7 linked regions of the Oryctolagus cuniculus genome follow. The protein of the gene in region 7 purifies or fractionates together with the protein of the main gene of each other region. This does not show direct contact. Links are inferred from orthologs where the notes say so. Each region holds a gene or a part of one and is shown on either strand. Other genes may lie near its edges. The genes, in order: SF3B3, TFIP11, FUS, SF3A2, SF3A1, CHERP and DHX15.

Region 1 (3,642 bases), on a different chromosome or scaffold from region 7:
CTGTAACTCTTTCTCTCAAATAAAATAAATAAATTTTTTTTTAAAAAAATGGATATGCCATATTTTAGGTATTCTTTATTTAGGTGGTGCTGTTTTGCTTTGAACAGTGCTGCAGTGAAAACTCTGATACATGTGTTATTCCACATGTGTGTGAATAAGTCTAGAAAAAAGTATTTGTTATTTGAGTAAGTTACATTTGGCTTCTGTTTTCTTTGTTGATGCATCTGGGAAATCTGAGATCTTGTCTTAACTCTTCGCTCATTTTGTTACTGGCTCCACATGTTTTTTCAGCTTCCAAAATTTTATTTGGCATTTCATATCTGCTGTCATCTTCTGTTTCATTCTCTTTGAAGATTTTTCCCTTTTAGTGAATATATATACGACAGTTAAAACTCCACCATTATAATCAGATAACTATTTGAGTTGTTTTTCCAGGTTTCTCAATGATAATTAAAATATTCTCACTGTCCCATTATTATTGGAGTGACAGAAAATTTCTTTGATAATCATTATATGTGTTTTATTGGGTTAAAAACCCAGAATCCCCGTGAGTAGTGGTGGGGTGTCGATCTCCTTGTTTTATTTGTAGACTGCTTTTAGATTAGAACGCTGCTGTTTGCTGACGTCTCAGGGGCTGCTGTGCTTGCTCGTTTCATTGCTAATGGCTCCCAGGTCCTGAGTTAACCCCCTTGGCCTTTGTCACAGGATTTTGGCGCTGGAGAAGCTTGGTGCTGTCTTCAATCAAGTAGCCTTTCCACTGCAGTACACCCCCAGGAAATTTGTCATCCATCCTGAGAGTAACAACCTTATCATCATTGAGACAGACCACAATGCCTACACTGAGGCCACAAAAGCTCAGAGGAAGCAGCAGATGGCGGAGGTAATAGGACTGACGTTCTGGGGTTTGGTTAAAAAGTGCATGTGTAAAATTGTGTTGAAGTTGAAACTCCTGTAATTGTTGATGATATTCCTTGTTATTTCTGTAAAATTTTTGAAGTTCTTTAAGCTCTTTGGTTTTAGAGGCTTTGCTGTGATCCAGGACTAATACGCTGACTTGGGTTTATTTGAAATTCCAGCTGCTCCTCTGGAAGAGTTCTTTAGTCAGTTTTAGTCAGTCCGTGGGTTTCAAACTGAGTTGTTACATTTTTCCTAGATATGAGCCCCTAGGAGACAGCTTTTAGATTCCCTACAACACCACTTGTAGAAATCATTTCCCAGGAAAAACCAAATAGCCACAAACATTTAGAACTGTATTCATTCTGAAACATGAGTAGTCCTAGCAAGGGAAGTCAGGTAGGTTAGGTTAAAAAAAAAATGGAGCTTTCATGTTTAATTTTTATTTTTTAAGATTGATTTAATTTTGGAAGGCAGAGCCAGGGAGGGAAAAGGAGAGAGAAAGAAGGGTCTTCCATCTGCTAGTTCATTCTACTAATGGCTCCAGCAGCCAGGTGTGGGCCAAGCTAAAGGCAAGAGCCGGGATCCCTGTCCTGTCTCCCATGTGGGTGGTAGGGGCCCAAATATTTGAGCCATCCTTCACTGCCTCCCAGGTACATTAGCTGGAAACTGGATCAGAGGCAGAGTAGCTGGGACTCAGATTAGCGCTTCAGGAAAGGATGGGGTAGAGCAAGCAGCAGCTTAACCCATGATCCACATTGCTGCCCCATGTTTGTTTCGTAGACTTCTAGTTTGATGTTTGCTACAGCTAATGTTTTTTTTTTTTTGTTTGTTTTTTTTTTTTTTTTTTTTTTGGGTATTTTCTTCTAATATGTAGCTGTATGTAACTGGTGGTAACTGCTTTTCTCTTCAGTATTCTTCCTTCTTAGCCTTGTTTGTGACAGTCTTGCAATGTTAAGCAGGAGCTGAGTCTGAAAAGTGTTCATTACTCCACTTCCCATGCAGTTCTCTCCTGGCCACACTGACGTTCCTTTGCTTTTTGGATTTAGGAGATGGTGGAAGCAGCAGGGGAGGATGAGCGGGAGCTGGCTGCGGAGATGGCAGCAGCATTCCTCAATGAAAACCTGCCGGAATCCATTTTTGGAGCTCCCAAAGCTGGCAATGGCCAGTGGGCATCTGTGATCCGAGTGATGAATCCTATTCAGGGGAACACCCTGGACCTTGTCCAGCTGGAACAGAATGAAGCAGCCTTTAGGTAAAGGGTTCAGGACAGTCCAAGGTTTGGTGAGTTCTCTGGCTTTGACTGAGGCCTGACTCCTGTTTTTTCCTCTGTGTGCAGTGTGGCTGTGTGCAGGTTCTCCAACACTGGTGAAGACTGGTATGTGCTGGTGGGTGTGGCCAAGGACCTGATTCTGAACCCAAGATCTGTGGCAGGAGGCTTTGTCTATACTTACAAACTTGTTAACAATGGAGAAAAATTGGAGTTTTTGCACAAGGTAAGGAACTAGCCTGTGATTGTCTTGGTTATTAGATTCTACTGAATTCTCCCACAGTTTTTTGGTGTTATGAGTCAGTTCGCCTTGTGGTCAGTATGTTGATTCTTTCCTTTTTAAAAAAAATTGTTTGAAAGGCAGAGCAACAGAAGGAGGACTAGAGAGAGAGATAAATCTTTTATCCACTAACTCATTACCTCAGGTGCCCGCAACAGCGAGAGTTGAGCCGTACCAGAACCAGAAAGCTGATCTAAGTCTTCCACATGAGTGGCAGGAAGCTGGATTGGAATTGGAGGTGGGACTCAATCCCAATCATTCTGATGTGAGATATAGGCAACCCAAGTGGTAGCTTAACCTGCTGTTCCACAGCTCTCACCCATTGTTGTTTCTAACCCATCTTTTGGCAGTACATGAGAACTGCTAGGGCTTTCCTGTTTCAGGGATGCTCCAGTGCCCATGAGTCCTACAGGAAGCCTGAGTGCTAACTGCGCACAGCGGAGATAAGGCACACACTGAGTTGACCCCTTGTTTACTGTCTATAAAGCAGTCAGCAATTTGTGGCCAAAATTCACCAGTTTTAAAAGATTAATAGAGGGGCCAGTACTGTGGCATAGCAGGTAAAACTGCCGCCCACAGTGCCTGCATCTCATATGGGCACCAGTTCAGTCTCAGCTGCTCCACTTCCCATCCAGCTCTGTGCTATGGCCTGGGAAAGCAGTAGAAGATGGCCCAGGTGCTTGGGCCCCTGTACCCGTGTGGGAGACCTGGCAAAAGCTCCTGGCTTCAGATTGGCACAGCTCTGGCCATTGTGGCCATTTAGGGAGTGAACCAGTGAATGGAAGACTCCGACTTTCTCTCTCTCGCTCTCTCTCTCTCTGTCTTTCTCCCTCTCTGTAAATCTGCCTTTCAAATAAAATAATAAATCTTAAAAGATTAATAGTTGTAAACAGTCAACATCATGGTGGTTGTGCTTCAGATTCCTGTATCTTATATCAGAGTGCCTGAGTTCAGGTCCTGGCTGTGCTTCTAATTCCACCTTCCTGCTAGTGCACATCCTGGAGGGCAGCAGATGATACCTCAAGCTCTTGGTCCCTGCCACTCATGTGGGAGACCTGGATTGAGTTTTGGGCTGCTGTCATTGGCCTGGCCTACCCTTGACTTAAAGTGATTTGTGGAGTGAATTAGTGATTGGAAGATATCCTTTTGTCCCCTTGACCCCTCCTTTTTTTTTTTTTTTTTTTTTTAAGATTGTATT
Region 2 (3,642 bases), on a different chromosome or scaffold from region 7:
GTCAGGAACTCCCTGCGGCGGTTCAACTGCTACCTGGGACACCCTCATCTCCTAGAGTGTCTGAGTTCAAGTCCAGGTTCTGATTCTAATTCTAGCTTCCAGCTAATGCACACCCTGGGGAAGCACTGGGTGTGACGGGGGCGTGACCTGGGTCACCACCTCTGTGTGTTGGGGGTGTGACCTGGGTCACCACCGCTTTATGTGATGGGGGCATGACGTGGGTGACCACCACTGTGTGTTGGGGGCATGACCTGGGTCACCACCACTGTGTGTTGGGGGCGTGACCTGGGTCACCACCGCTGTATGTGATGGGGGCATGACGTGGGTGACCACCACTGTGTGTGATGGGGCCGTGACCAAGGTCACCACCACTGTGTGTGAGGGGGCCGTGACCAAGGTCACCACCACTGTGTGTGATGGGGCCGTGACCAAGGTCACCACCACTGTGACGGGGGCGTGACCTGGGTCACCTCTACTATGTGTGACGGGGGCGTGACCTGGGTCACCCCACTGTGTGTGATGGGAGTGTGACCAAGGTCACCACCACTGTGTGTGATGGGAGTGTGACCAAGGTCACCACCACTGTGTATGACGAGGATGTGACCTGGGTCACCACTGCTGTGATGGGGATGTGACCAAGGTCATCACCCCTTGCCGTGAGGAACAACTGACGGAGTGTAACTGGATGATCATACTAAACCTAGAGTAACGAGAGCAGCGTGGCACTGTCATGGGCCACAGTAGGAGCGCTGCCCTCTCCACGCACGAGGCCCTGAAGCCCCCAGGAAGCTCAGGGATAGGCAGTGAGGGGCGGCCTCTGGGCTGTGGGACTGCTTTCTGTGGTTCCTGAACCCGATGTCCGGAGCCCCGTACCTTGACCTGCGAAATCTCCTTCTGGGGAGCACTGAGTTTCTTGCTGACCCTGCCCTTGGCCTTCAGCTCTTCCACCGTCTTATAGGAGTATTTGGGCTTCTTCTTGCTTCCGCTGGGGTCTTTCCTCCACTGGCTCAGCTCCTTCTGAAACTCCTAAACCCCAGGGAAACCACTGGTCACACAGGAAACAGCACTTCCCACAGCCTGTGGGACGAAGACCACTGACACCACAGGGCAGCCTCTCACGTTCACCCCAACTCCACACCAAGGCTGTGACGCTGCAGCCACCCAGCCTCTTACAGACAATGAGGCTCGGAAGGCGGGGCAGCAGCCCCGTGCTGCTGGGAGATCCAGAGATAAGGCCACCCCGCTGGGCATCACTGTGGGCAGGCTCTGCTGGTGTGAAACTGAGCGCGTGCGAAACTCAGAAATGCAACAGGAAGGACTTCAGGAGTACCCCAAGCCTCGGTTCTGATTAAAATGATAAACAAGTCTCAAGGTGAGGATCCACTTGACACTCGGGTGTATAAAACCCCTCTGCAGGGAGATCTGAAGAGAAGTGAGGAAGCAAGCCGGCCTGAGGATGGCACGGCGCAGCCCTCAGAAGTTGACGGTGTGGCTGTCCCTCCACTTTTCTCACACTGGTTTACACACATAATTTATTTTCTCAGACACTATCTGGACGTCTGCTGGCTTTGGGGGAATCAGATCAGGCAATCCCAAGCTCGTGTTGTCATGGCAACAAGTGCCTAGCGCCGAACACGAACAGCGGCTTTCCACAAGTTACGTCCTCAGCTGTGTGCCCGAGTCCCCACCACCCCCTACAGCCTGGCACCTGGCTCGTGGCGTGCACGCCCGTCAGCTCTGAAGCCTGAGAGCCCGACTCAGACCTGTCACTTCCACACTGTCCAGCGTGTCCTTGCTCACGAGGAGGCTGGTGACGACACGAGCGAGGCGCTCCCCTGCGGCGCCTGCCTTCCCGCTCTCTGTGGAGAGCCGCCCCACCCCTTCTGTCAGCAGCACAGCTGCCAGCAGGTGGCTCCTCCTGCACTCTGGGTGAAACCCAAACGCCTCCAACCCCCGCCCCACCCCTCCCTGAGCCACATCTCAGTGGGACTCCTTCCTTCCTGAGATCAGAGATCACTTCCGTCCCAGCCTGTGCCTTACACTTGGGCCACGCCCCTTCCCTGCCCCTCCTGTCACCTCCTCGTCTCCAGCACAGCCTGCATCCCTAAGCACGTGGAGCTGCTGGCTTACTGTGTGTCTCCATCCAACGGGCTCGAAGCCCAGCCCGGACAGCACGAGGCCTGACAGAACGCAGGAGCAGTCGGCCGCCCGCCACGGCACAGGACACCGAGGCCTGCCTTCCACTCACCTCCTCGGCTTCTTCTTCCGAGTCCACCACGGGGAAGTCCTGCAGGGACTGCGTGGTCCGCTCCGAGCCGTAGGCCCCCACGGCTCCCTTGCCCTTCCTCTGTTTGGCTTCGATGGGGTTTATGATGCCTGTCGATTGTCAGAAGACAGAGAGCTCAGACGGCAGCAATTCATGTGAATAAACCACTCGGGGATGTCAAGCAGCCTTGCCCTCAACAGGCAGCACGGTCCCCAGCAAGGAGAGCCCTGCCCTGCCCAGGCCCAGGCCATTGGAAACGTCCAGCACTTATGTGATCACACAACAGCCTGCTGACCTCACGTAACTCATGTCCCAACCAGAGGCTTGCACCGTGGATGGGAGAAAGCACAAATCACTTATCACAGAGAGCGCCGGCACACTCGATTCCCCGCTTCACTCCTCTGGAAGCTTCCATCAGGCAAAGTGCAGGGATTCAGACAACATGTACCCACGGACTCTGAAGTACAGGTGCACTTCATGGAGATGTGGCGTTTATTTATGTGAAAGACAGAGAATGACACATCTTCCATCCACTGGCTTCCTCCCCAGTTGGCTGCGACGGCTAAGACAGGGCCAGGCCAAGGCCAGGAGCCTGAAACTCCACCTGGGTCTCGCACGTGGATGGCAGCAGGGGCCCAGGGACTTGGGTCACCTTTTGCAGCTTTCCCAGGCACATTGGCAGAGAGCTGGGCTGGAAGTGGAGCAGCCAGGACACGTGGGATGCCAGTGTTGCAAGCAGAGGCTTACCCCTGCCCCACAACGGCAGCCCAAGATGCGGCACAAGACGCCGCCCCTGCTGCACTTCTTAGCTGATGTCCCCACACTGAGCTTTTCAGAAACACACTGAAGCCCCAGAAATACTCGTGCAGGTTGTTTCTCTCATAAAAGGATTTAGACAGGATTACAACTTTTCAAAAACTGCTCCCCTCCCTGCTTCCCACCTAGCGCTGGGGAAGTCTCACTCTTCCTCCCGGTCACCAGCCCTGCCTCACTCATGCTCGTGTTCTCAACACAACACAGATTTACGCCAACTACTAAAAAGAGACTGGAATTGGAACCACAGGCTTCACTCTTAATTACACCCTCGGTCACTGCCCGGGGAAAAGTTCTTGCAGGAAGAATCCAACTGCTTACTAGGGTGGTTGTGCAACCCAGGAAATGCGAACGTGCGACAGGGGCTGCGTCACAGTGGGGTGGGCTGTGCACCTGTGCTACAGACTATGTCGCAGTGGGGTGGGCTGCGCACCTGTGCTACAGGCCGCGTTGCAGTGGGGTGGGCTGCAAACCTGTGCTACAGGCTGTGTTGCAGTGGGGCGTCTCAGGGCTGACTCAGCAAACCACTTCAGGCAGAATCCAAGGTTCTAGGCGGATTTTTC
Region 3 (4,177 bases), on a different chromosome or scaffold from region 7:
TTTGCTGTTGTCCGCCATAGCCAGACTGCTGGCCATAGCCCCCACTCTGGGGCTGCCCATAGCTGCTGCTCTGAGAACTGCCGCCGTAACTACGGGAAACACACAGGCAAATCAGAACCCCGGCATGCCCACAACTTCCTTTCACTTTCAGCACATCCCCTCCTCCCTACCAACACAGGCCTCCCTTCCCCCACCACACACTGCGCCTCCTAATGGCTCCTAGTGCTCTGCCTTCTTTCCTTAGCAATTCACCCCTCATCTTGCGGGCACACAAACACCTTACCTGCCGGAGGTGTTGCTGGGAGCTGGCTGCTGTCCATAGCCAGGGTACGAAGACTGCTGCCCATAGGATGATTGAGAACTCTGGCTGCTGCCATAGCCGCCAGTTGAGCCATACCCCTGGGGAGCTGACTGAGCGCCATAGCCTGCTACGAAGAAAAACAAAGCAAGGGAGTCACGAGAGCTATGAAGAAACAAAGGCATGGGAAGGGTTGAAAAAAAAAAAAAAAAAACATACTCTACCTATGTTCATCCATACCTCTTAGCAACTGCTAGTAAATCCTGCAACTCCCAGCCAGGGAAAGGACATTCTTCTGAACTCTAAGGTTAATGTTCTAACTCCTACTGACTTTTTAAAGACAGTTCCAATTTTATTCCACCTATCCTAAAGCCAGTCTCCAAGACTGGAATCTTATTCAAAATATCCCTCTGTGTCAACCACGTTTTAATATGCTGGTATGAGTACACCATACACAAGAAAACCCACATGAATTATTTTCACTTCAGAACTCGGGGGCAAATTCCTTCTCCTGGCGTATCCCGTGATGCCCAGTAATGGGACTTCAGACAAGAAGACCATTTTCTCCACTAAGAATCAGCCTAAGACTGGCACTCTCTTTAGGGAGTATGCCCTCATGCTTAGCAGGGAAACAGAGAAAAGGTACAGCATAAACAAAAAGTCAAAGGAAAAAAGGAAACGATTAAAAGCAAGGAAGGAAGCATTTTCACTGGAAAAGACTGCAGACTCCAAGAAGTTTTAGGGTTAAAGGGGAAAAAACATGAGAGATTCACCACTTCAGCACTGCTTAGGGTTTCAAGGCAGAGTGACCCCCCCGCCCAAGACAGACTCACTGTTCTGGGTCTGTCCGTAAGAAGAACCGTAGCTGCTCTGGCCATAGCCTGAAGTGTCTGCTGACTGCCCGTAGCTGCTGTAACTCTGCTGTCCGTAGGGCTGATTGCTCTGCTGGGAGTAGCCCTGCCCAGGCTGGGTGGGGTAGGCCCCGTAGCTGCAGGGGAAAAAGAAAAAAGAAGAAAAAGGGTGCAGTCAAGAAAATGACCTCAACCACCCTTGCCCGCTAGGAATTCTAGAAGCCCAGACACGGCACTCACCTTTGGGTTGCTTGCTGGGTATAGTCTGATGAAGAGAAAAGACAATCAACGTTAGGGTCAAGAAAGGGGTTGCCAGGTCTATTCCTTAACCCAAGAACTGGGGCATCGGAGCCAGGAAACCCACCAGCCTACTGCTGCCCTGCTGGCCACCAACGCCCCACCAGACTCTTTCTCAATGCAAACTCCACTCGCTTGAGGAACTGCTAGAAAACCTGTCCCATCCCTGTCCCGGTCACACCCACTCCATGACAAAGGCCACGGAGTTCCTAAGTGGGCACCAAAAAACAATAGCCATTCTCCGCCCCTTGGCCAATCTTGGGAGAAAAAGCAGAGGGGAGTCTTAAAGCAAAGCCAAGCAACCAAAAAGCAGAGGTCCTGTGACGCCAAACGACAAGGCCCCTCATCAATTCGATCAGTGCTCAAGTCCCCAGGCCTGGGGCTCCAACAGGCTCTCATCGACTCCTGCCGACTTCTCAGACAGGAGGAGCCGCCGCAACCCAAAAGGTACCGAAAAGCGCTTTTAGGACGTCACATTCGAGACGCAGCAGCGAGATCAACTCCTGCCCTCAGTCCAGGAACCCAGGCGCTTCCCGCCGCAGGAAACGGCAAAGGGATCGGGGAAGGGTGTGGCCTCGGACGCCCGTTCCCAATTCGGGGAAAAAGAAAATTTAGGCGGGAAAACCCTCGGACTCGGCCCCCGAGACCGTTGGCGGATCTCCCCGACGCCCCCCTCAACCGTTAGGCCGGGCGCGCGGCCCCGATCCCGAGCATCCGCCCCCGGCCGCGTGGCAACCGAGGCGGGAACGCGGCGGTCCCGCCCCTTCCCGTGGGACCCTGAGGGGCGAGGCCCACGCCGGAGGCGGGCCGCCGAGTCCGCTACCGAGGGTCTCGCGACAAAAAGCCGGCCTGACACGAGGCTGGGAAGGGAGGATCGGCGCCGCGAGCACGGGGGAGGGGCCCGCAAGGCGCGTGCGCGCACCGAGTGCCCGGATGCAGCACTGCGACAAAGCGGGCCCGAGCGCGGCGTGGAGGGGGTGGGGGGGCCCGGGAACCTGGGCATTTCCGCCCGCTACCACAGACTCGAACTCGCTGAAAAGCGTCCTCCCCCCACCTCATCCAAGGGAACGGAGGGAAGACTTCCCGCCCCGCACGAAACGCGCCAGAGGAGCAAAACAAAATGGCGACAACAGCCTCCCGCCCCCCCTTCCGCCCCTCTCCGCGGGCTTCCCGCCACAGGGGTTCGAAAATATCCTACACGCGATCGCCGCCCTGGCCCCACTGAAAAAAATCAAAAGCCCAGCTAGGAGAGAGCAAGCCAGGCCCTCCGGAGCGGCGCGCCACCGCTGCCTCGCGCCCTTACATACCGTTTGAGGCCATCTCCGCGCACGCGCGCACAGGCCGCCAAGCAACAAGATTCCGACACCTCGGAACACCGACGCCTAGAGGACTGAGCAGCCCCGCCTCCTGCGTCGAGGCTTATGTACGCCTCCCCGCCCACGTACCGCGGGGGGACGTACCAACCGCCGAAAACGAAGGGGGGAAGCAGGGCCGGACTCCTACCACCTTCCGGGGAGGGTCGAGGGTCCCAGCAGAAAGAAGGAAAAAAACTAACTAATACATATAAGAGAATATATATCATCATGTTTTCTCTGATCAATAGCTCACCTTCGCTCTGCAGGCCTAGCCTACGATTCTTCTCTACCCCTATAAGAGAGACATGGTACGGTCTGATTACGTTAGAGGCGGGGCCGAGGCCCCGGGCGTCTGCGGAAGGAACCGTAGTCAAGGCCGGGAGTCGAGGTGTGGGAACCGAGATTCCTCTGGTTGGCCCCTCTCGCCCGGGCCTCACTTTGACTCGGGATGGCGAGCCCCTCCTCCGCTGCCTTTCTGCCGCATAGGGCGCCACCCTCCTGTCTGCGAGCTGTAGCGTTGCTCCCTCAGCCATCGCAGCGACCCTCTCCTTCCCTGCGTCTCGGCTTTCGCTTCAGCGTCTTGAGGGTGCCTCTGCGTTAGTCCTCAGTGGGGTTTATAGATTGTGACATCTGACCGGAAAGCAAGCATGGAGTTGAGCCTGGATCTCTGGGCCCTCATGCAGCGCGGAGCGATCGGCAGAACCCTCGTGGCTCTGCCCCTGGAGGACCGTGGGGCGGGAAAGCCCGGGCCCCCCTCCGACCCCAGCTAGCCTTGCCGTTATCAGATTACGGGTCCCCCCTCCCCGCCCCTTTCCCGACGACGACCTACACTCTTCATTCTGAGCCCTTCCGCGGAACCCGCGTGGAGATACTGGGGATAATGCATTGGCATACGACTTCAGTAGTTTCATGCGCAGTTTTACATCCTTCTCATCAAAAACCGGTGAAGAAAGTAAAAAAGGCATCTCCATTGTAGAGACGAGAAAAGCGAAGCTCCTGGGAGAGCCTGCGCAATCCGTGTTTGTACAGGCAGCTGAGCGAGGGGCAGTGATTCGAATCCAGGTCCAGGTCACTACACCACTAGGTCTTTGTTGGTTACCTGAACTATTTATAGAATTTTGAAAGCCTGTTCCGTTTCCTGTGAGAATGAAGGCGGGGGGGGGGGGGGGGCAAAATTCAAATTAACTTGCACCTTGCACTCTGATCAGCTTTGCCTAGGGAGGGGGATTTGAATCTTTTCCAACAAATCAGACAAAGATTATTCCTGGTACATGTGCGACTGTAGATTTTCCTTCCCAACCAAACTTTGCTCTGGGTTCCAGACATTTCTTTGTAGATTGAGCATCTAGACAGATAAGATACAGGGGTTCTGCTCT
Region 4 (4,138 bases), on a different chromosome or scaffold from region 7:
ACCTGGGGGGGGGGGGCGGCCGTGGGTCCTGGGGTGGGGAGGGGGCGCGGGGCTGGTGCCGAGACCCAGGGCGGGGCGGGGAGGGGGCGCCGTGGGTCCGAGGGAGGCGGGGGGCCCTACCTTGAAGGCGATGGTCTCGTAGGGCTCGGCGGCCATCAGCAGGTACTGCCAGCGCCGGTCCGGGGGCTCGATCCTCTGCTCGTAGGCCGACATGAAGCGGTGCCGGGGGGTGATGCCCTCGGCGATCTCGGGGTAGTCGATCTGCGGGCGGGCAGTGTCAGGGGCCCCCAGCCCCCACTGCCCCCCGCCCCCGCAGCCCCCACCCGGCCCCGCCCCCGCGGCCCCCCCCCCGACCCCGCGGCCCCGCCCACCTGGAAGAGCAGGCTCTGCTGGCCCATCTCCGTGTCCCGCTGCTTGGTCACTGCAACACCAGGGCCGGTGAGGGGCCCCCCCGCAGCCCCACGTCCCGCCCAGGGCGGCAGGTGAGGCCCAGGTCCCAGCTCAGAGGGCCGGCCCAGGGCTGCACGCCACAGCCCCGCCTGCCCCTCCGTGCCCAGGACCCCGCCTGCCCACAGCCCCACGGCCTCGCCTGTCCCCGCCTGCCCCTCCCTGCCCAGGGCCTCGCCTGTCCCCGCCTGCCCCCCCCCCCCCGCCCAGGGCTGGTGTCGGGCGGCCCCGCCCCCTCACCTTTGTAGCCAGGGCGTCCGATCTTCACGAACTTCTTCACCTCCACCTTGACCTTCTCGGGCGCGGGCTGGGCGGGCGCCTCCTTGGCCTCCTTGGCTGCGCGCCGGGCCCTGGGGCGGGGCAGACGGGCGCTGTGGTCCTCCACACCAGGCCAAGGCCACGGGCGCAGGTGCAGGAGCCCCCCTGCCCGGCCTTGGGCTCCCGCGGGGGGGGTGAGGGGCGGGGCCCTGCGGCTGGGGGGCGGGTCAAGGGGCCCTCCCCCGTGTCACAGCCGGGGGGCGCGGGGGGCACTCACAAGTTGGTCTGATGCTTCTTCCCTTGAGTGTGTGCGAGGTAGCTGCCCTGCGTGGAGGAGGCGGGACATGAGGCCGGGGGCGGGGCCAGGCCGGTGGGCGGGGTAGCGGCAGGCGGGGTGGGGGAGGACCAGGCCGAACAGTGGACAGGGCGGGAGGGGGGGACCAAGCCGGCCGGGGGGTGGGGCAGCGGCAGGCGGGGGTCAGGCCGGGGGCGGGGGGATCAGGCCGGCTGGGGGCGGGGCCAGGCCGGTGGCAGGCAGGAGCGGGGGACCAGGCCGGCCAGTGGACAGGGCGGGAAGGGGGGGGATCAGGCCGGCCGGTGGAGGGGGGGGGCCAGGCCGGCCGGTGGGCGGGGCGGGGGCGAGGGGTTCAGGCCGGCCGGTGGGCGGGGCGGGGGCAGGCAGGGGCGGGGGCAGGGTACCAGGCCGGCCAGTACCTCGTTGTTGTGCAGGGTCAGGCACAGCTTGCACTCGTAGGAGCCCAGGTGGTTCTTCATGAAGTAGGGGTCCTGGGGGAGAGCGGCGCGGGGCGTCAGGGGCGTCAGGGGCGTCGGGGGCGTCGGGCGCGTCGGGGGCGTCGGGGGCGCCCCGCGGGGGGGCGGGCGGGCGGCCCTACCTTGTTGATGTCGATGGTCTCCAGGGCCAGCTGCCGCAGGCGCTCGCGGCGGTCCCGGTTGCTCTCGGAGGAGGAGGCCACGCCCCCACTCCCGGTCTTGCCGCCGGGGCGGTGCTGGAAGTCCATGGTGCCGGCCTGCGGACCTCAGCGCCGGAGAAGCCTGCGGAGCCCAGACCGGGGGGGGCCCTCAGGACGCGGCGGGGGCCGGAGACCCCAGGAGGCAGCCCCCAGCCCCTCCCGGGCGCACCCACGCGGGCTCTCCCGTGTCAGCCGCCGGGCCCAGCCGCGGGCGTCGGGGAGAACGGGGGCGCGGACGACCGCCTGGCGCCCCCCCGCCGTCCACTCCCCAATGCCCCTAAGCCAGGGCTGGGCCTCCCCGTGGACGGCAGGGGCCGCTCGGGCCCCATTCGGGCACTGGCCCGAGTCCTGGCTGCCGGCCCGGGCCCCGCACCTGCTCTGACCCGGCCCGGCCCGGCCCGGCCTCCGGGGACTGGACCGGCGGGAGGAGACCCCGCCCCTGCGACCCCGACTTCCGGGCACGGCGCGGGCGGCCCGGCTGACCCCAGGGCGCTACCGGGCCCGCCCGCGGTCCACGCACGAGCCGCCCCCGGCTGACCCCAGGGCGACCCGGGCCCGCCCGCGGTCCACGCACGAGCCCTGGCGGCCCCACAGCCCCTCCATCGGGACGCGAACCCAGGACCTCAGGGCTGGGGGAGGGGGAACCACGCGAAGGGACAGTCGGACAGCGGACCGAGGGGAAGACGCGGCCCCGGGCACGCAGGCTTGCGGGAGGGAAATCTAAGACGCAGCCGCATCGCCGTCCGCACCCGGGACGCCCCGCAGCCCCCCGGGCGCCCGCGACCGACCCCCACGACGACAAAGGCGCCAGCGGGGGCGGCCTCGGGGGTCCCGGCGGCTTTTGGCGGGAACGCCGGCACGCACCCCCGCGCGCGGCCCCGCGGCCCGGGCCCGCCCCGCCGAGCAGCCGAAGGCCCGCGGCCGCTCCCCGGACCCCGGAGCCCGCCCCGGACGGACGCGAGACCCCCGCGACCCCCGCGACGCCCGCCGCGGAGTTCCGGAGGGCCGGGGTCGCCGTGGGGCCCGCCGCCCGCCCCGGCCCCTCCCTCCCGCGCCCCCAGCCCACCCTGGGCGCCCCGGGGCCCCGATGGCCCCCGCGCCTACTTCGTGTGGGTCGCGCCCCGCGTCGCAGGCCTCCGCCGTCCGCCTCAGGAGCCGCCGCCACGACGTCGCAGTGCGCACGCGCGGCGCGGGCGCTCGCAGCACTTCCGGAGGGAGGACGGGCCCTCGAGTGTGCGCATGCGCGTGCCCGAGGCGCGCCTGCGCACAACGCGCTCCGCGCGCGCACCCGCGTCGGCTCTTGGGGGCGGGGGCGGGAACCGGTAACGCCCCGTCCGCCCGCGCTCGGCGGTCCTTCGATCCTGCTTGCGCCTCAGACCCACTTTATTCCGCGGCTGTGTCGCGGCTGCCCGGCGTGTACCCACGCCCCAGCACGCCGCGGTCGCAGCGCGCAAGACTCGCCCGTGGCGCGCAGGCGCAATGGCGCTTCCGGGGCTCCGACCTGGGATCTTTCTGGCGCGAGCGGGGACGGCGGCCGAGAGGGCTCAGAGCTAGCAGCGCGCGTTCCCGGTCCCGGGCAGCGCCGGCGCCATGCGCTACAACGAGAAGGAGCTGCAGGCGCTGTCCCGGCAGCCGGCCGAGATGGCGGCTGAGCTGGGCATGCGGGGCCCCAAGAAGGGCAGCGGTGAGCGGGCGCGGGCGCGGGCGGGGGCGCGGGGGCGCGGGGGCGCGCGGCCGCCCTGAGCCCGCTGTGTGCCCGCAGTGCTGAAGCGGCGCCTGGTGAAGCTGGTGGTGAACTTCCTCTTCTACTTCCGCACGGACGAGGCCGAGGTGGGCGCGGGGCGCGGGGCGCGGGGGCGGGGCGCGGCGCGGGGCGCGCGGGCGCGGGGCGGCCCCGCTCACGGCGCGTGTGCCCGCAGCCCGTCGGAGCCCTCTTGCTGGAGCGCTGCCGGGTCGCCCAGGAGGAGGCGCGGAGCTTCTCCATCGGTGAGTGCGCGGGCCGGGCGGGGCGGCGCGGGCGCGGGGCGGGCGCGGGCACCCACAGCGGCCGCTCCCGCAGGCTTCCTGGAGGACCCGGAGAGGAAGTACGTGTTCGAGTGCGGCAGCGAGGAGCAGTGCCGGCAGTGGACGGAGGCGCTGCGCAGGGCCAGGTGGGGCCGGGGCGGCGGGGGCGGCGGGGGCGGCGGGCGCGGCGGGCGCGGCGGGCGCGACGGGGGCGGCGGGCGCGGCGGGCGCGGCGGGGGCGGCGGCCTGACCCCGCGGGCACGGCCTCTCCCGCAGCTACGAGGTCATGCGGAGGAGCCTCATCTTCTACCGGAATGAGATCCAGAAGATGACGGGCAAGGTGCGGGGGGCGCGTGCGGGGCGGCCGGGCGGGCGGGGCTCCCGGCCCCGGGCCCCGGGTCACCGCGTCTCCCCGCCCGCCGCCCTAGGACCCCCTGGAGCAGTTCGGGATCTCCGCG
Region 5 (3,642 bases), on a different chromosome or scaffold from region 7:
TCCTAGATTTGGTTATTTTCTAAACACACACATTTTTACAGTTCTTTCTAGTTATATGCTTGGCATGACTGAAGCTGGAGAAAATCCAAGTCCTTTCACGTTAGACTTTTAATACATTGTTGGTAGATACCAAGAACAGATGTGCAGATCACCCCCTGAAATGAGAAGGAAAACAACCTCCACTAAGTGTAGCAAGTGGAGCCAGCGTGGTAGCACAGAGGATAAGGCCACTTCCTGCAATGCAACATTCCATACGGGTACCTGTTCAAGTCCCTGCTGCTCTACTTCCAACCCAGCTATCTGCTACCAGCTTGGAAAAGCAGTGGAAAATGGCTCATGCCACTCACAGGAGAGACCTGGAAGAAGCTCCTAGATTCTGCCTGGCCCACGGCCAGCCACTGTAGCCATCTGGGGAGTCTATCAGTGGATGGAGGATCTCGCTCTCTCTTTCAAATATACAAATCTCTTTAAAAATGTAACAAGAAAACCAATCGTTACTGATTTCCTTTGCAATGAATTAAAGATCTGATGATTTTAATTATCAGTATTGTTAGGATACAACTTTTTAAAAAATAATTTATTTAATTCAGAAGCAGAGACAGAAAGGAAGCTCCTATCCCATTGGTTCTTTCCAAATGCCCACGATGGCCAGAGCTAGGCCAGGAGCTCAACCCAGGTCTCCACACGGGTGGCCGGGGCCCGAGTACTTGAGCCACTACTGCTGCCTCTCAGGGTCTGCGTTAGCAAGAGGAGACACGAGCTGGAGCTGGCGTTGAACTCAGGCACACTTCTATGTAGAAAAAGTAGTTTGATTTGCATTTAAAGGAAAAGCTGAATCAATCTACAGATGTCACGTTTCTTCAGCTGGTCTGCTCAGCTGCCCCACAGAGAAGCCATGCCCCGGTGGACTGAGTGCTCCCATAGGTGAGACGCCCCCCTTCCCGCACAGCACCTTGGTGTACTGTTCCACCAGCTTTGTGAAGTAGTTGAAGAGGCTGTGCTGCGGCCGCAGGAAGTCAAACTGGTAGTTGCGCTGCTCCTTCTGCATGAGCTGGGTCAGGAACTGGCGCCCGTTCCTGGCCACAAACTGGGCCGTGAGCTTCACCACATCCAGGTCAAAGGCTGAGATGGAAGGGGGGTCGGCGATGAACTCAAACTCAGGAGGCGGTTCTTTGGGCACGATGGTCTCTTGGATCACCTGAGCCTGGACCTAAGACCCAGAAGGAGTGTAAGGCGCAGGGTGCACTGGCTCCAGGGAGCGGGGAGGAGCACGCCTGAGCAGGAGAGCTGTGGGCCCTGTGTGTCCGTTCTCACGCACACAGCACTGGTGTTTGGCATGAGAGTGCTCTCACTCAAAAGAACATCAATTTCTCAGCCAACTGTGGCCTCAACTTCCTGAACAGCTTTAACTAGCTGTCTGTAACTCTGCTCCTGCCCTGAAACCGAGGGCTAAAACGGGTGGTGGAAGAGTTGACAGGAACGTGGCTTATTAGAGCAGGGGGATGGAAATGCATTAAGGACCACGTACACGCAGGGAATCCCAGTGGGCAAGTGCTTCTCTAGCTCTACATGAACCACAAGGCGATACACCAGGTACCGTGAATCCTCCTTACAAATGAGGACGCGGAGGCAGCCTGAGGCCCTCGGAGCAGGAAGTTGCAACACAAGGTTTTAGAACCCGACTTCAGCCTTTACATCCCACTACAAAACAAGGGGCTGTCTTCTCCACCACGGTTCGGAGTACAGCAAGGTGAAGGGACCAGTCCGGTTCCACACAGGAGGCAAAGCATGCTGGCCCTTCCCGTCTTCATTCACAACTTAACAGTCCCTCCTGAGCCCAGCGCAGGGAGGCTGGCAGCACGGCGGTCAGAGGGGAGGGCCCTGGGAAAGACTGAAGGGAAGGGATGGCACAAGGAGGGCCCCACAGGCCCCACTGCTCCCTTCAGCAAAGCCAGGTAGGAGGTCCTTCCCATACCACAGCACTCACGGTCAAAGCCTTGGGTAGCTACACCCCCCAAACCCTCAACTGTCAAAGAATCGCTCTGCCGACCTCACGCAACCCCTGGGAAGTCACTGACACGGCTCCTAGGGCACTGATCGTGGATCCTGGGGAGCAGGGCTCAGGGAATGCCAACTGTCACTGGGACCTCTCGGAGAGACTCTACGGGTCTACCTGTGTAAGGTGGCTAACAGCTTGGACCGCACAGTTAATCATGCACCCATCCCCGTGCTCACCTCCCTCTTGGCCCCGGGGAAGTGTAGGGTGGGGGCTGAGCTCCAAACCTTCTGGGGCAGCTGCTGCTGGGTGGCCTGCTGCTGCTGCTGCATAACCTTGGGGATGGCGGCTGAGGGCTCCTGGGCCTTCCCCTCCTTGAACTCGCTGACCTTGTGGCGGTAGTAGGCATGGTAAGGGTCATTGGGGTTCAGGAAGTTGAACTTGGGGTTGTTGATCTCATTCTGTCGTATCCTGGCTTCAAACTCAGGCCCGTTTCTGGAAGGAGGGAAAAAGAACCCTTGTGACTGCTCAGACACAAAACACTGGCCCCTCAAGCCTCCAGGCACCAGCGGCCAATGCCATCTGCCTCAGGGCCTCCTGGCCGACGACTCCACCACAGTGCACCCCGGCCCTCCATCGTGTTCTGCTCCTCAGCCAATTCAGCCACTTCCAAAACCTCCACCGCTACTGCTTTTGTCTTCTTTACCTTTCAAATATTCATTTTGTTTATTTGAAAGGCAGTCACACAGAGGCAGAGAGAGAGGAAGATCAGAGAGAGAGAGAGAGAGAGAGAGAGATCTTCTATCCGCAAGGTCACTCCCCAAGTGACCCCGATGGGTAGGGCTGGGCCAGATCTAAGATAGAAGCCAGGAGCCTCTTCCAGGTCTCCCATGTGAGTGCAGGGGCCCAATCCCTGCTTTCCTAGGTGAATTAGCAGGGAGCTGGATCAAAGTGGAATACCTGGGACTTGAACTGGCGTCCATATGAGATGCTATGACACAATACCCACCCCTGCTTTTGTCTTTTAAAAAAAGACAGGGTTGGAGCTGTGGTGTAGTAGGTAAAGCTGCCACCTGCAGTGCTAGCATCCATATGGGCACCAGTTAGTCCCAGCTGCTCCACTTCCGATCCAGCACTGTGCTATGCCCTGGGAAAGTGGTGGAAGATGATCCAAGTCCTTGGGTCCCTGAACCTGCATGGGAGATCCGGAAGAAGCTCCTGGCTTTGGACTGTTGCAGCTCTGGCCAGTACGGCCATTTGGGGAGTGAACCAATGGACGGAAGACCTCTCTCTCTCTGCCTCTGCCTCTCAAATAAATAAATAAATCTTTAAATAAACAAAGTCAGAAGAAAATTCTGTTTAAAAAAAGGAAGATACATATTACTTCTTGAAGTAACCCTTTATAACAAAAGGTAAGCAAAAGTGAATACAATGAGAACAAAACAATACTGTCAATGTTCAGCCGCAAGTTTCCTGAGACTAATTCTCTTAGTTAACAGGGGAGATACAGCAAGTGTTAGAGAAGCTTGAAGAAATACTAGCCCCAGATGGAGACTCTGCCCTCTGGGTGGGTGATGAGAAGGACTGAGACACACGAGAATTAGATGACCTGATCATGCCTGGTCGGAGCGCTAAGACTTGCTGCT
Region 6 (3,642 bases), on a different chromosome or scaffold from region 7:
ACAACGAGAGAGAGCGGGAGAGAGGTCTTCCATCCGCTGGGTCACTCCCCAAATGGCCGCAATGGCCAGAGCCGGGCTGATCAGGAGCCAGGAGCTCCATCCGGGTCACCCACGTGGGTGCAGGGGCCCAAGCACTTGGGCCATCCTCCACTGCTTCCCCAGGCCACAGCAGAGAGCTGGATGGGAAGAGGAGCAGCTGGGACTCGAACTGGCGCCCCTATAGGATGCTGGTGCTTCAGGCGGCTTTACCGTCCTGAGCCAGGCCGGGGGCCCTGCTCACACAGCCCTGTCCCTCCCGGGAGCCACAGCCAGCCCGTCCACTTTCTTAAGTCCTCCTGAGATGAGAGGGCGTTGCCTTGAAGGGCAAAGACCCCCGAACGCTAGTGAGGTTGTAGGTCAGGACCCAGATGTCTGCCGGCCTTGCTGGGACTGCCGCCCGCGCCTTGCTCCCAGAGGGTGACGGTGGCCCAGCGGGCGGTCCCCCTGCCGCTCACGCAGCCCGCCCCGCCCCGCAGGAGCAGGTCACGGCGGCCGTGGCCCACGCCGTGGAGCAGCAGATGCAGAAGCTGCTGGAGGAGACGCAGCTGGACATGAACGAGTTCGACAGCCTGCTGCAGCCCATCATCGACACGTGCACCAAGGACGCCATCTCGGTGAGGGCGGCGCCGGGGTGCGGGCTGGCGGGCGCAGCCCCGGGCCTGCCGCGCCCCGCTCACCGCAGCCCGGCTGTCACAGGCCGGCAAGAACTGGATGTTCAGCAACGCCAAGTCGCCGCCGCACTGCGAGCTGATGGCGGGCCACCTGCGCAGCCGCATCACGGCCGAGGGCGCGCACTTCGAGCTGCGGCTGCACCTCATCTACCTCATCAACGACGTGCTGCACCACTGGTGAGCGCCGCCGCCCCCCGGCGCGGCTGGCCCCGGGGGTGTGGGGGGAGCCTCAGTGCCGGGCCCCTGGGCCGACCACGCCCACTCAGTCACCTGGCTACTCGGCCACGCCCCTCGGGGCCCCTGGGCTGACCGCCGTCCTGCGCGGCGCTGCCGGCCACTTGCGTGTCTCTGGCGAAGGTTAACGAGAGTAACCAGACACCTGGGCAGGGCAGGGCTCGGCTGGTGAGAGACACATGCGTGCGAGAGCTTCCGAGCGTGGCTGGGCTGGCGGGGAGGGCCGAGTTAGCCACAGGGCCCCCCATGAGTGTGACAGAAGCTGGCCGGGCCTGTCACCCACGCATCCCAGCCCAGGTCCCCCGTGCTGTGCAGCACGGTGTTGGCTCCACCGCGGGAAATGAGCAGCCACCGCCAGCTCCCTCCGGCGCCTCTGCGGGCCAGGCCTCTCGCCCTTCGTCGGAAGCCGAGGGCCGCTTCCCCTCCCCGTCCTTCCCGGCCCCCGGCCCTTTGCTCAGCACTGGGGGTGGAGCCGCTCACCCCTGCCCTGCGTCCCTCCCTGGCTCAGCCACCACCCTGCTGCCCCCTCCCCCGTGCACTGCGGCGCACAGCGCGTCCCCGGCCAGTGCTGCTCAGTGGCCCTGAGGACACGGGACTGGGCCCGTGGCCAGAGGGTCCTCGAGGCCTGAGGGTCAGTGGCTACCCTGCCTTCCCTCCAAGAGGCTCGGCCGCGTGTTGCCTCGTGCACAGCAAGTGACAGGGACGTGGCCCTGCCCCCCCGGCCCCGGGGCACCCTGTGTGGACACTCGGGGCTGTGTCGAGGCCCCGCGGCCACCCCAGGAGGGACGGGGAGCTGGGGGAGAGGCCTGGCTCCGGCCGGCCCGGGCTGCAGCCTCTCCCTCCTCCCCTCGCGGCCTCGGGAGCGCAGCCGTCACCCCGCAGGGTTGGGGGCCGTTCCCGGAAAAGGCAGAGGGTGCTGTGGCCGGAGCCGCGATGGTAACGGGCGCGTGGCCGGGTCCCGTCCCAGGGCCCTGACGCGCGGAAGGTCTCTCCCTCACAGCCAGCGCAAGCAGGCCCGGGAGCTGCTGGCCGCCCTGCAGAAGGTCGTCGTGCCCATCTACTGCACCAGCTTCCTGGCCGTGGAGGAGGACAAGCAACAGAAGATCGCGCGGGTCCGTGGGCGCCGGGGGCGGGGCGGGGCCCGGCCGGGGAGGGCGCGCCAGCCCCTCACCGCCTCCCCCTCCTGCCCCGCAGCTCCTGCAGCTCTGGGAGAAGAACGGCTACTTCGATGACTCCATCATCCAGCAGCTGCAGAGCCCGGCGCTAGGGCTTGGCCAGTACCAGGTGCGGCGAGCTCCGAGGGGCTGCCTGTGGCGGCTGCCCGGGCCTGGGGGAGCTCAGACGCGGTGTTGCCTGTTTGTTTCGGTTTCTGGAGTGGGGTCACAGTGGTCCCAGGCTGGGCGTGTGGAGACAGCTCACGGACTCGGAGCTGGGCCCACGGCCGTGCCTCCCTGGAGGGCTGGGGGCTGAGCTCTCCGCGTTGACCCCCGTCCTCCACGTGGGGAGTCGAGGAGGGCCGGGGGCGTGTCCAGCTAGCGGCAGCCCCGCCCGCCTGCCCCGGTCCCTGACCGGCGGCGCCCTTCTCGCAGGCCACGCTCATCACCGAGTACTCGGCGGTGGTGCAGCCGGTGCAGCTGGCCTTCCAGCAGCAGATCCAGACCCTGAAGACGCAGCACGAGGAGTTCGTCAACAGCCTGGCCCAGCAGCAGCAGCAGCCGCCGCCACAGCCGCAGCCGCAGCCGCAGCTTCAGATGCCGCAGATGGAGGCCGACGTGAAGGCCACGCCGCCGCCGCCCGCTCCGCCTCCGGCCCCCGCCCCGGCTCCAGCCCTGCCGCCGACCACCCAGCCCGGTGCGCGGCCCCCGGCCCCCTCGGCGGGCTGCCCCGGGGCCCCGGCCACCCCAGCAGCCACCCAGCCCGGTGCGCGGCCCTCGCCCCCTCGGCTCCCTTGGTGGGCTGTCCTGGGAGGGTCTGTGGTCCCGGGCCAGGGGACGCCCGCAACTCCTTCCTTGTGCACTGTCCTGGAGAAGAGAGTCTGGGACGAGGACGCGGCGCTGGTGCTGAGCGAGCGTGGCGCGGGGGGCGCGGTCCTGATTAACACCGAGTGAAACCGCAGAGAATCGGGGGGCAGGGGGTGCGGCCTGGACGCCCCTAACCCGACACCTGGAACTCTGAGCATCGCGCAGCCTCAGAAGAGTTGGATTTCGGGTTAAGGCTGCTTGGCCAGTAAAATCTCCCAGCATCCGCGGGACCCCAGCCCCGGGGTAATACGCGGCCGTCCCGGGAGCGCCAGGGCAGTGCCCCGCCAGGAAGCCCGGGAACAGATTCCACAGGGAGACGGCCCCCTGCCAGATAGGCCCAGGTGTTTATTTAACCAGCGCCCATAGCAGCCGCTCCAAGGAGCCGCACGTGCTCTCCCCCTTCCTGGAAGTCACTCGGAAGCAGAGGCCCTGGCCCGGTTGGCTCTGGCTCTGGGTGGGCATTGAGGGCCCCCTGCCCTGCAGCGCCTCCTGCTGGCGGCGCTCTAACTGCCTCTCGCCCGGATGCAGACGACAGCAAGCCAGCCATCCAGATGCCCGGCTCCTCGGACTACGACTCCGCGGGCGGCGTCCAGGACCCTGCAGCCGCCGGCCCCCGGGGCCCTGGGCCCCACGACCAGATCCCACCCAACAAGCCGCCGTGGTTTGACCAGCCCCAC
Region 7 (3,642 bases):
TATTCTGGGAGCCAGCACTGTGGCATAGCGGATAAAGTTGCCACCTGCAGTGCCAACATCCCATATAAGCGCCAGTTGGAGTCCCAGCTGCTACACTTCCAATCCAACTCTCTGCTATGGCATAGGAAGGCAGCAGAAGATGGCCCAAGGACTGCACCCGTATGGGAGACCTGGAGGAAGCTCCTGGCTCCAAACATTGGAACAGCCCAGCTCCGGCCTTTGAGGCCATCTGGGGAGTGAACCAGCAGATAGAAGCTCGCTCTTGCTACCCACTCTATCTCTGCCACTGCCTCTCTGTAACACTGCCTTTCAAACAAAGAAATAGTTAAAAGAAAAAATTATATTCTGGAAAATTCACAAGGCCCATGAGATCAAAAGAAAAAAAGCTCATAACAATCTCTATGAAATGGTTTCCTAAAATGTTGTTTTATCCAAATAGCTTTTCTTGCATTTAGCCTTTGAAGAATTTAATAGCATACCTATAAATGCCCTGCTGTAAATAGAAATAGTAGGCAGGCACCGCGGCTCACTAGGCTAATCCTCCACCTAGCGGCGCCGGCACACCGGGTTCTAGTCCCGGTCGGGGCGCCGGATTCTGTCCCGGTTGCCCCTCTTCTAGGCCAGCTCTCTGCTGTGGCCCGGGAGTGCAGTGGAGGATGGCCCAGGTACTTGGGCCCTGCACCCCATGGGAGACCAGGAAAAGCACCTGGCTCCTGCCATCGGATCAGCGCGGTGCGCTGGCCGCAGTGCGCCGGCCGCAGTGGCCATTGGGGGGTGAACCAACGGCAAAGGAAGACCTTTCTCTCTGTCTCTCTCTCTCACTGTCCACTCTGCCTGTTAAAAAAAAAAATAGAAATAGTACACTTGTGGGGCAAACACTGTAGTCTAGTGGGTGAAGCAGCCATCAGCATCCCATATCAGACTGCCAGTTCAAAACCCTGCTGCTGTTTCCTATCCAGCTCTCCATCAATGTGCCTGGGAAAACAATGAAGATGGCTTAAGTACCTGGCACCCTGCCATCCTTGTGGAAGACCAGGATGGAGTTCCTGAAATCTGGCTTCCACCTGGCCTAGCCCAGTCCTTAATGCCATCTGGGGAGTAAACCAGCAGATGGAAGATATCTCTGTCACTCTACCTCTCAAATGAAAAACTTCTGAAAAAAGAAAAGCTACTACACATGAAAATCTGTTGTCTAAAAATGAAGTTCTAACTAGGAAACTTCACTGATCCCTTCAATCCTCAGCACATGCAAAAGAACGAACAAAAAGAAGACAAACATTTTGAGGGTGGATGGACACCTAACTTCACTCATAACCAAAACAACCAATTTTGAATTGAAGAAATGCATGATTTTACAGGAGCTGGGATTCCAATTCATGCATCAGCAAAATAACACAACCCAGGCTGCATCAAAATTGATACAACTGCTAAATCCTGAAATTCTAAAAGCACTTAACACTCTTGCTATAATTAACACAATCAGTCGCCAAAGAAAAAAAAATTTCCCAGAGTACATAAATAAAAGGGTCATGTTTAATATGTTAGTACAATCAGGTTGAAGAAAAACTTCAAACAACGGGATAAGAAAAATATAGTTAATATCTAAATCAAGGCCGCTGCTTGATAGAAATGTGTCAAAGGCTATTAACGAAGGAAACAATGACAATACCTCTTGACCAGTTAAGAAAAGCAGAAGATCTCCCTCCTCCTCTTCACACATATGAATCTGGATCACTGTTCGGATTGCTGCTTCAAGATAATCTCTCTCCGGTTCTGGAGTATAGAAGATCTCAACAGGATGTGTACGCCCAGGAATAGTTAAGAGTGGACAGTTATCGAAGTAAATCTGGAATTTTCCTGCATCCAGAGTAGCACTCATAACTATCACCTGAAAGAAAACAGTAAACTACTTGAAATTGTCTTCAAGGGTTCTTACATGGTCTCAAAAAACAGAATAGTAAAGGTAAAAATATTTTCATTGTTATCTATTATAAAGCTTAAAAATTTCAAATACACTGTGATTTAAATATCAAATGCAGAAAAGCCTGAACTACAGCAAGTTATGTTATTTATTACAAATTATTTAAAAATTTTAAGTAAAACATTAAACATGTAAATTTACATGAACCAACACTTTCAAAACCAAAACTTGGGGACCCGCACCATGGTGGCACAGTAGGTTAATCTCCACCTACAGCACCAGCATCCCATATGGGCGCCGGTTCTAGTCCCCAGATGCTCCTCTTCCAATCCAGCTCTCTGCTTTCGCCTGGGAAAGCAGCAGAAGATGGGCCAAGTCCTTGGGCCCCCCGTACCCACGTAGGAGACCGGAAAAAAGCACCTGGCTCCTGGCTTCAGATCAGCTCAACTATGGCCGTTGTGGCCATTTGGAGAGTGAACCAATGGAAGGAAACCTTTCTGCTTCTCCTCTCACTGTCTGTAACTCTGCCTCTCAAATAAATAAATAAAATTTTAAAAACAAAACTAGCTGGTGCCGCGGCTCAACAGGCTAATCCTCAGCCTAGCGGCACCGGCACACCGGGTTCTAGTCCCGGTCGGGGCGCCAGATTCTGTCCTGGTTGCCCCTCTTCCAGGCCACCTCTCTGCTGTGGCCCAGGAGTGCAGTGGAGGATGGCCCTGCACCCCATGGGAGACCAGGAGAAGCACCTGGCTCCTGCCTTCGGGTCAGCGCAGTGTGCCGGCCGCGGCGGCCATTGGAGGGTGAACCAACGGCAAAGGAAGACCTATCTCTCTGTCCACTCTGTCAAAAAAAACCACTTATGAAATTATATGTCAAAGGACTGATAAGATAATGTCAGAAAATATTCAGTCAGCTTTAAACCCTTAACACGGCAACCCTGGCCAAGATCTAAGCGGTATAGGAGAGAGAAAAAAAAAAGGAAGACACAAGTGTAAACAAATGTCCTTCTGATGAGTGCTTGTCCTGGTAGTTGTTCCAGCGTTATCAGTGATTTTGAGGGCTGAGATGACAGGAATCTGAGCAACAAAGACACTGCTTAAAGAAATGAGCCCTCTTGTACGTAATGAAGGGATGAAAGACAAGGTGAGCAACAGTTACAAAAATATGCTAAAAGGGGCCAGGACGGTGGCATGGTGGGTAAAGCCACTGCCTATGGCTCCAGCATCTCATATGGGCACTGGGTCAAACCCCAGATACTCCACTTCTGATCCAGCTCCCTGCTAATGTGCCTGGGAATCCAGAATTAGATTGCCCAAGTGTTTGGGCCCCTGTACTCATGTGGGAGACCTGGAAGATCCTGGCTTCAGATCAGCCCATTCCAGCCCTTACAGCCATCTGTGGTGCAAAGCAGCAGATGGAAGCACTCTCTTTCTCTCTGAAACTCTCTTTCAAATAAATAAATTAATTAATATGCCAAAAGAAAGGATCAGAAACTAGTAAGATATGCCATAAAAATATATTACTGGGGCCGGTATGTGCTCTAAGTTACTGCCTGCAACACTGACATCCCACTTGAGTGCTAGTTATGTTCCTAGCTGTTCCACTTCTGATCCCACTCCCTGCAAATGCTCCTGGGGAAGCAGTGGAAGACGGTCGCAGTATTTGCGTCCTGTTAACCCATGCAGGAGACCTGGATGGAGTTTCAGGATCCTGCTTCGGCC

Evidence for each region.
Region 1: the proteins of DHX15 (region 7) and SF3B3 purify together in Homo sapiens (co-immunoprecipitation; 4 studies listed by BioGRID and IntAct, with this or other methods). This does not show direct contact. The link is inferred for Oryctolagus cuniculus from reciprocal best matches to the Homo sapiens genes DHX15 and SF3B3.
Region 2: the proteins of DHX15 (region 7) and TFIP11 purify together in Homo sapiens (co-immunoprecipitation; 4 studies listed by BioGRID and IntAct, with this or other methods). This does not show direct contact. The link is inferred for Oryctolagus cuniculus from reciprocal best matches to the Homo sapiens genes DHX15 and TFIP11.
Region 3: the proteins of DHX15 (region 7) and FUS purify together in Homo sapiens (affinity purification with mass spectrometry; 4 studies listed by BioGRID and IntAct, with this or other methods). This does not show direct contact. The link is inferred for Oryctolagus cuniculus from reciprocal best matches to the Homo sapiens genes DHX15 and FUS.
Region 4: the proteins of DHX15 (region 7) and SF3A2 purify together in Homo sapiens (affinity purification with mass spectrometry; 4 studies listed by BioGRID and IntAct, with this or other methods). This does not show direct contact. The link is inferred for Oryctolagus cuniculus from reciprocal best matches to the Homo sapiens genes DHX15 and SF3A2.
Region 5: the proteins of DHX15 (region 7) and SF3A1 purify together in Homo sapiens (co-immunoprecipitation; 5 studies listed by BioGRID and IntAct, with this or other methods). This does not show direct contact. The link is inferred for Oryctolagus cuniculus from reciprocal best matches to the Homo sapiens genes DHX15 and SF3A1.
Region 6: the proteins of DHX15 (region 7) and CHERP purify together in Homo sapiens (co-immunoprecipitation; 3 studies listed by BioGRID and IntAct, with this or other methods). This does not show direct contact. The link is inferred for Oryctolagus cuniculus from reciprocal best matches to the Homo sapiens genes DHX15 and CHERP.

What each region holds. Positions count from the first base shown.
Region 1 is NC_091449.1:56,650,761-56,654,402, reverse strand, and holds part of SF3B3 (splicing factor 3B subunit 3), read left to right. Parts: intron 1-705; coding exon 706-880; intron 881-1,943; coding exon 1,944-2,149; intron 2,150-2,233; coding exon 2,234-2,390; intron 2,391-3,642. UniProt on the Homo sapiens protein: Component of the 17S U2 SnRNP complex of the spliceosome, a large ribonucleoprotein complex that removes introns from transcribed pre-mRNAs.
Region 2 is NC_091452.1:20,273,442-20,277,083, forward strand, and holds part of TFIP11 (tuftelin-interacting protein 11), read right to left. Parts: intron 2,377-3,642; coding exon 2,249-2,376; intron 1,027-2,248; coding exon 874-1,026; intron 1-873. UniProt on the Homo sapiens protein: Involved in pre-mRNA splicing, specifically in spliceosome disassembly during late-stage splicing events. Intron turnover seems to proceed through reactions in two lariat-intron associated complexes termed Intron Large (IL) and Intron Small (IS).
Region 3 is NC_091450.1:6,013,713-6,017,889, forward strand, and holds the start of FUS (RNA-binding protein FUS), read right to left. Parts: upstream 2,869-4,177; 5' UTR 2,767-2,868; coding exon 2,754-2,766; intron 1,415-2,753; coding exon 1,390-1,414; intron 1,287-1,389; coding exon 1,132-1,286; intron 429-1,131; coding exon 284-428; intron 90-283; coding exon 1-89. UniProt on the Homo sapiens protein: DNA/RNA-binding protein that plays a role in various cellular processes such as transcription regulation, RNA splicing, RNA transport, DNA repair and damage response. Binds to ssRNA containing the consensus sequence 5'-AGGUAA-3'.
Region 4 is NC_091447.1:59,110,376-59,114,513, reverse strand, and holds the start of SF3A2 (splicing factor 3A subunit 2), read right to left. Parts: upstream 2,937-4,138; 5' UTR 2,781-2,936; intron 2,157-2,780; exon of another isoform or gene 2,050-2,156; intron 1,759-2,049; 5' UTR 1,725-1,758; coding exon 1,599-1,724; intron 1,492-1,598; coding exon 1,420-1,491; intron 1,030-1,419; coding exon 983-1,029; intron 798-982; coding exon 688-797; intron 422-687; coding exon 372-421; intron 262-371; coding exon 121-261; intron 3-120; coding exon 1-2. Other genes in the region: PLEKHJ1 (pleckstrin homology domain-containing family J member 1), read left to right, coding at 3,267-3,360, 3,439-3,506, 3,596-3,662, 3,736-3,826, 3,957-4,020, 4,109-4,138. UniProt on the Homo sapiens protein: Component of the 17S U2 SnRNP complex of the spliceosome, a large ribonucleoprotein complex that removes introns from transcribed pre-mRNAs.
Region 5 is NC_091452.1:23,652,964-23,656,605, forward strand, and holds part of SF3A1 (splicing factor 3A subunit 1), read right to left. Parts: intron 2,492-3,642; coding exon 2,284-2,491; intron 1,211-2,283; coding exon 953-1,210; intron 1-952. UniProt on the Homo sapiens protein: Component of the 17S U2 SnRNP complex of the spliceosome, a large ribonucleoprotein complex that removes introns from transcribed pre-mRNAs.
Region 6 is NC_091447.1:64,914,118-64,917,759, reverse strand, and holds part of CHERP (calcium homeostasis endoplasmic reticulum protein), read left to right. Parts: intron 1-515; coding exon 516-653; intron 654-735; coding exon 736-887; intron 888-1,911; coding exon 1,912-2,056; intron 2,057-2,138; coding exon 2,139-2,228; intron 2,229-2,533; coding exon 2,534-2,864; intron 2,865-3,493; coding exon 3,494-3,642. UniProt on the Homo sapiens protein: Involved in calcium homeostasis, growth and proliferation.
Region 7 is NC_091433.1:19,757,212-19,760,853, forward strand, and holds part of DHX15 (ATP-dependent RNA helicase DHX15), read right to left. Parts: intron 1,889-3,642; coding exon 1,670-1,888; intron 1-1,669.